Coturnix japonica: one gene and its partner. The protein of the gene in region 1 interacts with the protein of each later gene in a pairwise test. Links are inferred from orthologs where the notes say so. Each region holds a gene or a part of one and is shown on either strand. Other genes may lie near its edges. The genes, in order: EXOC2 and RALB.

The links.
Region 2: the proteins of EXOC2 (region 1) and RALB interact in a two-hybrid assay, tested with the Homo sapiens proteins (2 studies listed by BioGRID). The link is inferred for Coturnix japonica from reciprocal best matches to the Homo sapiens genes EXOC2 and RALB.

The regions. Positions count from the first base shown.
Region 1 is NC_029517.1:61,951,619-61,955,995, reverse strand, and holds the start of EXOC2 (exocyst complex component 2), read right to left. Parts: upstream 2,928-4,377; 5' UTR 2,807-2,927; intron 2,606-2,806; exon of another isoform or gene 2,585-2,605; intron 2,554-2,584; exon of another isoform or gene 2,464-2,553; intron 1-2,463. UniProt on the Homo sapiens protein: Component of the exocyst complex involved in the docking of exocytic vesicles with fusion sites on the plasma membrane.
Region 2 is NC_029522.1:21,379,750-21,382,814, reverse strand, and holds the end of RALB (ras-related protein Ral-B), read left to right. Parts: intron 1-684; coding exon 685-804; 3' UTR 805-2,551; downstream 2,552-3,065. UniProt on the Homo sapiens protein: Multifunctional GTPase involved in a variety of cellular processes including gene expression, cell migration, cell proliferation, oncogenic transformation and membrane trafficking.

The DNA of each region.
Region 1 (4,377 bases):
AAGACAAAAGGTTAAGCTGAAGAGCAGTGTCTGACTTCCGCTAAAGATATCCATTCATTCACCTATTTTCTGATTCCAGCCCTTCAGCTTGCTTATAAGTACAGCACCAGATGCCACTCATACTAAAAAGCCCCCGCGGAAGATAAATTCAGAGTAATACATGCAATCTTTTGAGCATTATTTACCAGTTCTTCATTCTGAACTGAAGTACTACTGATTTCTTCCATGCAAAACATTCATGCGCCTTTTTTGCATAATTAAACTAATGCACAGACAGGTAATAAATATCCACTTGTGCTTCACGGGCTTGCCTCGTTCTGGAGAATAAAAGCATAGTTTAATTCATGTATTCTTTCATTCGGTGGCTGTCAGAGCCTGTATGTTCAAAAATAACTTTTAAATACACACTTCTGTGATCATGCTATTCAGGTCTTGCTCTTTTCGCCTCCCTTAAATGGATTCAAAGGGAAAGCAGAAAAGCCCAGATGAAGAGAATCAAAAGTAACACACAACTGATGATTAGTTTCAAGTACAATGCTCAAGACTTTCTGGATTTACAGCCAGCCATATCAAACTGACAGAAATTGATTAAGTAGGGTTTAACATAACATATCTCAAGCTTTCATCGCTAAAAGAGGTCAGTGGCCTCTGTTTCTTGTCTACCACTTAATGTGCTTCAGTGCAGTTTCACTTTGAGGAGTAGCATCATGAACAGACCGTATCAGTGGATGCTATTTCATGGGACCTTGGGAAACTACTGGTGAATCACATTTTAACATCTTTAATATGTGTGTGGTTTTTTTTACCTCAAATATTCTCAGCATGAGGAATCCTACAACTCAAAACACTAAGACCTGAATATCACAGGTCCAAAAACATCCAACTGCTTCACCTCTGATAAACACTAAGAAAAATTAAATTTTCCATACAGGGAAAAAAAAAACCAACAACCCGACTTGCCACCAGAAGTTAAATTAATGCCATTTTCTGTGAAATAAATCACACTAGTATAACGAAAATCATTGCATCCTGTTTAAAACAACAGAACCCCCGGTTAAGTAAAAACACTGTTGTCCAAGGGTGGGCATAAATCACAAACCCTGTAAACTAAGCGATCCATGGGAAAGAAAGCAGCAGCTTTCGGCTGCTCCTTGCTGGGTCAGTGCAAGCTGTGACAGACACTACGGCGATAGGGAGCTAAGAATTACAAAGCTTTTCTTCAGGGGAGTAAAAATAAAGCAAGCAAAGCAGGTTGGATGTAAAGGTGACAAGTTTCACTTGCAGTTTATAATTAAAAAACGACAGCCAAAAAAAAAACAAACCTCAGAAACTATTGGGTGTCAGCCCTGCCCACGGGAGAGGGCTGGAACTGGATGATCATTAAGGTCCCTTCCAAAGGAAGCCATTCAGTGATTCTAACTGAATTTCTAGTGATTTCTAATGGTTTGAACACTCCATCAAAAGGAAAAAGAAAACCCCGGTGCAGTGAAATACATACAGGTCTTAAGGAGGGGGGGAAGCGTTTGCAATCAGAAAACGAGGAAAAACAATGTGAGATTAGAATTTTAAACTACATCACGTATCAGAGGGTTTGAAACTAGATGAACATTATGGTCCTTTTCAACCCAGACCGTCTATTATTCTTTGAATGGGCGTTAACAGCTTAGACTTGACCTGATGTTCTGCCAGACTAGGAGGGCTTATTGCTTCGCTGGATGTGAATTCAAAGCGTTTGAGTGTTTGTGTTAGAAGCTGTTCATCTAAGGAGCAAACAAGACACAGGTGGTAGGAAACGCCAAAGAAATATATAAAAGAGGGAGAAAAGGCAACAGCTTGGAAGAAGCGCTATTTTGAAAGCCGGGACAGAATGTCAGGGTCCCTATTGGAAATGCAACCATCCCCACGTCCAGGCTGTTCCCCTCAATGAGAAACCGCGTTGCAGTTCATTTTAATCACACAGAATCACAGAATGACCCGGGTTGGAAGGGACCTCAAGGATCATGTAGTTCCAACCCCCCTGCCTAGCAGGGCCACCAAACATACACATTTACTACATCGGGTTGCCCAGGGCCCCGTCCAACCTGGCCTTGAACACCTCCAAGGACGGGGCATCCACAACCTCCCTGGGCAGCCTGTTCCAGGGCCTAACCACTCTCCTAGTGAACAACTTCCCCCTAACATCCAACCTAAATCTTCCCTCTTTTAACTTAAAACCATTTCCCCGTGTCCTGCTATTGTCAGCCCTTTCGAAGAGTTTACTCCCCTCCTGGGAGTAAGTTCCCTTCAGGTATTGAAAGGCTGCAATGAGGTCACCCCGCAACCTTCTCTTCTCCAGGCTGAACAAACCCAACTCCCTCAGCCTGTCCTCATAGGGAGGTGCTCCAGCCCCCTGGTCATCTTCGTGACCCTCCTCTGGACCCTTTCCAAAATCTCTATGACTTTCTTGTACTGAGGGCTCCACACCTGGACACAGTAAGCGAAGTTTTAAGCGCCCGTGCCTCTCCCGGCCTACTTCCTGCACAGCCCTCAGCACACGCGGAACCACCTCACGGTAACCAGCAAGGCCGGTCCCATATGGCACTACCTGCCCCCCAGCACAGCACGGAGCCCCACGGCCCGCAAACAGCCGCCCCGAATCCCTCCCGGACTAGGGGCGGGGCGGGAGAGCGCCTCGGTCTCCCCCCCGGGATGGGGACGGTCTCCGCCCCAGCGCAATGGGGGAGGACCGGGGCTGCCCCGCTGGGAGCCGGCTCCGCAGCGCCCGGCGGAGGAAGGGAGGGGCGGGAGGCCGCTCGCTGTCACTCACCGGCCGCCGCCGCCGCCGCGCTCGTATCCGGCACCTGGGGCAGCGCCGCTCCCGGCAGCGCCTCCGCGTCCGGCGGGAGCAGGCACCGGCAGCCGCCGCCCGAAGACATCGATGGAGTGTGGAGACATCGAGAAGGGGCGGCCGAGCTGCGGGCCCCGCCTAATGAAGGCGCAAGAGGCGGAGTAGGCGGCCTCCCTCGGGTTGGGAGCGTCTGCTCGTAGAAGCTCGGAAGTGGGGCAGTACGAAGCTCTTCTACTGAAGTAATATTGGTAGCAGCAGCAACGGCAATCGTAATAAATAATAATAAACTCCACGCTCTTGTGATGCAGCACAGGATGGTGCGGGGGTGCGTGGTGGTGCAAGAGGAAGGCACTGTGCCCTTGAGTCGGAAGGACAGGTTCCTACCATCTCCTGTCTCCCAGAAGCATTGCTTGTGTCCTACAGGCCTGGTTGTGGGGCCTCTAAATGATCGTCACACCTCTCCTGTATCTGTGGCATGGAGGGTTTGGTGTTGAAATTTCAAGTGTTGGTTCTCCTGCTGCCCCTCAGATGCAGGTGTGCTGGCCCTGAGTATGCTTGGGGTTAGAGCTGCTCATTCCCTAAAATGCCTGCAATGCCACATGGGCAACACCAATGGGTATTCTCACCCATCAGGCTCACTGTTGGGTGGAGGACGATTGCAATGTTTTTCACGTCATCTGTACAAAAAGGAGACTAACTTTTCTTCAGAAATGGAGCAAAGCAAAGCTGTGCAATTCCATTTCTTGGCTCAGCTTTTATTTCAGGTTGTTCCCCAGCAGCCCGACCCCCTGGGTAGTGTCTTTCCGGCACCGCTGCAGGGCTGCACAGAAACAGGACGCAGCTGTTACAAGAGCTGGCGGTAGGCAGGCAGCATGGGCAAAGCTTGGTCGTGCAAATTCGTGCTGGTTTCCCACTGAAAACATGGGGTGATTTCTTATCAGACCATCTGTCTGCATGAGGCACCTCTGAACAGAGGCTCTTCTTCCTTTTGGAAAGGAGACATCCTTTTTCCCTTTCTGCTGGAATTGTTTGGAGGTTGGTTGCGAAAGCCAAGTGCAAATGAAATCAGAATGGAAAGCAGATAAAAAGCAATGAGGGAGAAAACAGAAAGGAGAATCAGTTTCTCAGTTTTGCCAGTCCAGGCCTAGATTGAGACATTAGTTGGAAATATCTTTCATAAAACCTCAAAGAACGTAAGCGCTATAAAAAACATCATGGCAAGGAAATGTCATTTCCCACATGTTTTGGTTTTTTTTTTTTTCCCCTGGAGGTGAGAGCTGCACAAGGTATATTATAGGCTGTAATATCTCAGTGGATGAATATACAGCTCCTTACTGACTCTTCCCTCTAGCTTTAGTTAAATAGTCACACGGCATCTGCCTGAGGAACAATGAGAGACTTCAGTGTCATGCTTTTCACTAATTAGCTCCAAAGTTCTTACTGGTGACTGAGCACTTTTCTGTTAATACCCAGTGCAGAAAGACAGTTCATCTGTCCTTCAAGAAAAAGTAGAGGGGAAAAAAAAGTACGACTCTTTGCCACCCGTCTGA
Region 2 (3,065 bases), on another chromosome or scaffold:
CTAAGCTGCTTTCTCCTTGGTCAAAGAATGCTTGTAGCTTGATCGTAACATGTATGAGGGAAAACAGTTCTTGTTTTATAGTTCTGACTTCTTTTCTTAGTAATGCTCAGTTAAGCTGCTATTTCATCTTTTGGTATCTAGCATAGGTAAAGTAATCTATGATTTTTGGGTGGACATATCAGAGTGATGACTTCTGAGAGTCTTCTATGCAGCAGGACTTCCTGTGCCTGATACTGCCACTCTGAATGCTGCAGCTCTTTTAATTATGAAACAGGCAGAATATTATACAGCAGGGTATGTGCTTGTAACCACTTAGGAAGGACTGAACTAAATACTGGATGCTTGAGTTAGCAAGTATTTCCCAGCAAATAACTTATTAAGCACAGAGCAATATTATCTTGAGCTCTGAATGCTACTTTTGTGCAAGAGCAATATTCAACAAAAAGCTCTTGAAACAGAGCTGCTGAGTGACTTAAGTTACGATAGAGTCATGGAACAGTCTTGCTTCTTGCTACTGCTTCAGGTACCATAATTCTAATGTTGAATTTATAGCTGGGATGTGTCCAGATTTGATTCTGCTGCTAGGTACCTTGTTGTACTGTGTCACTTATGTGCCTAATAAAGTAGCCTGGATCTGTTTTTAGGTGGCAGAACTTGTTTAATCTTTTTTTTTTTCCCCTCTAGGTATTCTTTGATTTAATGAGAGAAATCAGAGCAAAGAAAATGTCTGAAAACAAAGACAAGAATGGCAAGAAAAGTGGAAAGAACAAGAAAAGCTTTAAAGAAAGATGTTGCTTACTGTGATGCTTGGGAACTGTGTATATCTATCTACAAATGGCATGGATAAGATACCACTAAGGATATAGGGCTGGATTCATGAAAGGAAGTCTGTATTGACTCCCTTATCTCTTGCTTTGCATATCATACCTTGAAAATGTGAAAACAACTTTGAAACCATTTCTGGTATCCAACAAAACCTATGCCTACTTAAACTGAATTGTCTCTGTCTTCCCAGTGTCTTTCAAAACTAGAAACTATTGAGGTTTTAGAACTACAATCACTCTATTTGGTTATACGAAGTTCTTTCATATTAACTTCCTGGTTTAATGTCTCAGAATATGTTTCTTGAACCTCTACTGGCCTTAACAAGCACAGCTGTTCAGGTTCAAACAGTTCTTTCACTGGTGCCCTTCTTAATGTTGTAAACTGCAGACAAGCTGGATGACAACCTGTCAGTTTGTCTCTGTTTTCTGCTAGTGGTTACTGAGTTGTTACGCTGAAATTTGCTGGTTTCCTTCCTACCCTCCACTTAAATAGCAACTGACACTTGAGTCAACCCAAAACAAACTTTCTTCCCTGTTCTGTTTAGTCAATATGGCATTCATGAATCAAGCCTATGGACTCAATTTGGACTTAATTAGGAAATACAATATTGGCTTTCCCTGATGTTCTGTCTTCTCATCCTTAAATTAGAGTTAGGGGGTGAGAAAATGACTAAGCTTTTCATCAGAAGGAATAGTGTTGCCACGGTCTCCTAGAAGTGCAATCCTGGATTTCTTCCATGTATTGTGGCTATTACACTCATTCTGCATTGGTCATTCATCGCCTTCCTGGTACTGGAACAGTGAAAAATCAGTGTTCATCAGTTTTGTTTATATTGGAAAATGTGTGATATGTTGGGAAAGTGGGATCATCTGTTTCCTGCTGGAATTGAAAGCTGAGTAAGGGTGGCTCACATCACAATCATGACTTGGACTAGGTGAGGCGTACACGCTACCTCTCTGATTAATTGGCTAGTGAGTCGTGTGGTTGCAAAAAGTGAATGAAGTGAAACAGTTGCCATGTCTGTTACTCACTGTTAATTTTATATGTACTGTTTCTGACGCATAGCAACCTAGCACATGGAGATGCACGTTGGTTTTGCTGTCAGTTATGCAATGGTGGTCATGTTTTAATCAGCAAAAGCCCGCTTAGAAATGGAAGAGAAGTCAGTACTTAGCAGGTCTTGTCAGCTGACTGAACTGTGATTTCTGATGCAGTTTAAACTAAGTGCAGTTGCCAAAAAATACTTCTGTTGCTGTTGTAGAATGTAACCGTCTCTTCTGTTTGTGGAGTCTCTCAATGAATTATGGATATTTTCTATTTCAAAGGAGTAGACAGACTTGAAGTAGTGACTGTACCTTGCTTTTTAACCAGATGCTTAAAGCACTGTTGGTGGAAAGGTGATGCTGTGTGGTTGTTCAATGAAGCTCACTGCAGCACTAAATTAACAAATACTGTTTCTTGAGGTGAAGGAGTAGCAAATACTGTTCAGTACTTAGTATTGTAATTTGAGGATGAAAAACATTTTTAACATGTACTAGATTGCTGTTGTGCATTCCACCTCCGAACTTTGGGGAGAAAAAGATGTTAGATATCGGAACCTCTGTTGGTCTGAGGTTTTTACAGGGATTTATCACACTCATTGTCTTCCGTAACTAGTTTAACTTGTCAGGCAACTCATTGGACTGGGGAAACTGTACTAAATAAAAGGTGCTGTAATCTTCCTTCATGTGAAGTTTAATTCATTTTCTGTTAATGTTCTGTGCACAGGAAGAATGCTTCATGAAGTTTGGAAATTATTCTTTGAATAATATAATTGGTATAACAAAGCGAACTGAATATAGTTCTTGAGGCAGAGGCTGGGAGCTTGATGGCTTACAGAATTGTATGAGCTGTACCACCTGTGTCCAAAGCCTAAACACCCAGTGGGACACACAAAGCTGTCTAAAGCTTCTAAAAAGACTTCCTCTTGAACTTAAATTGACTCTATTTTTGTGTGCATGCTGTATCTACAGCATGTGAATGTCCACTTCTAGAGGCAGACCACTTGCTTAGGTTTGGCTTTAGTTGAGACCTAAAGGTTAAGTCCTTAATTAACCTAAAGGATAAACAATGGCTGAGTTCACATTACAAGCTTACCTAGGTCAAGCCCCTCTCAGGCGGATTGTAGAATGTGGCTAACAAAACTGAATAAGCTTTCCTTGCTATATGAATAATGAACTCAACAAAGCTTACAATGAATA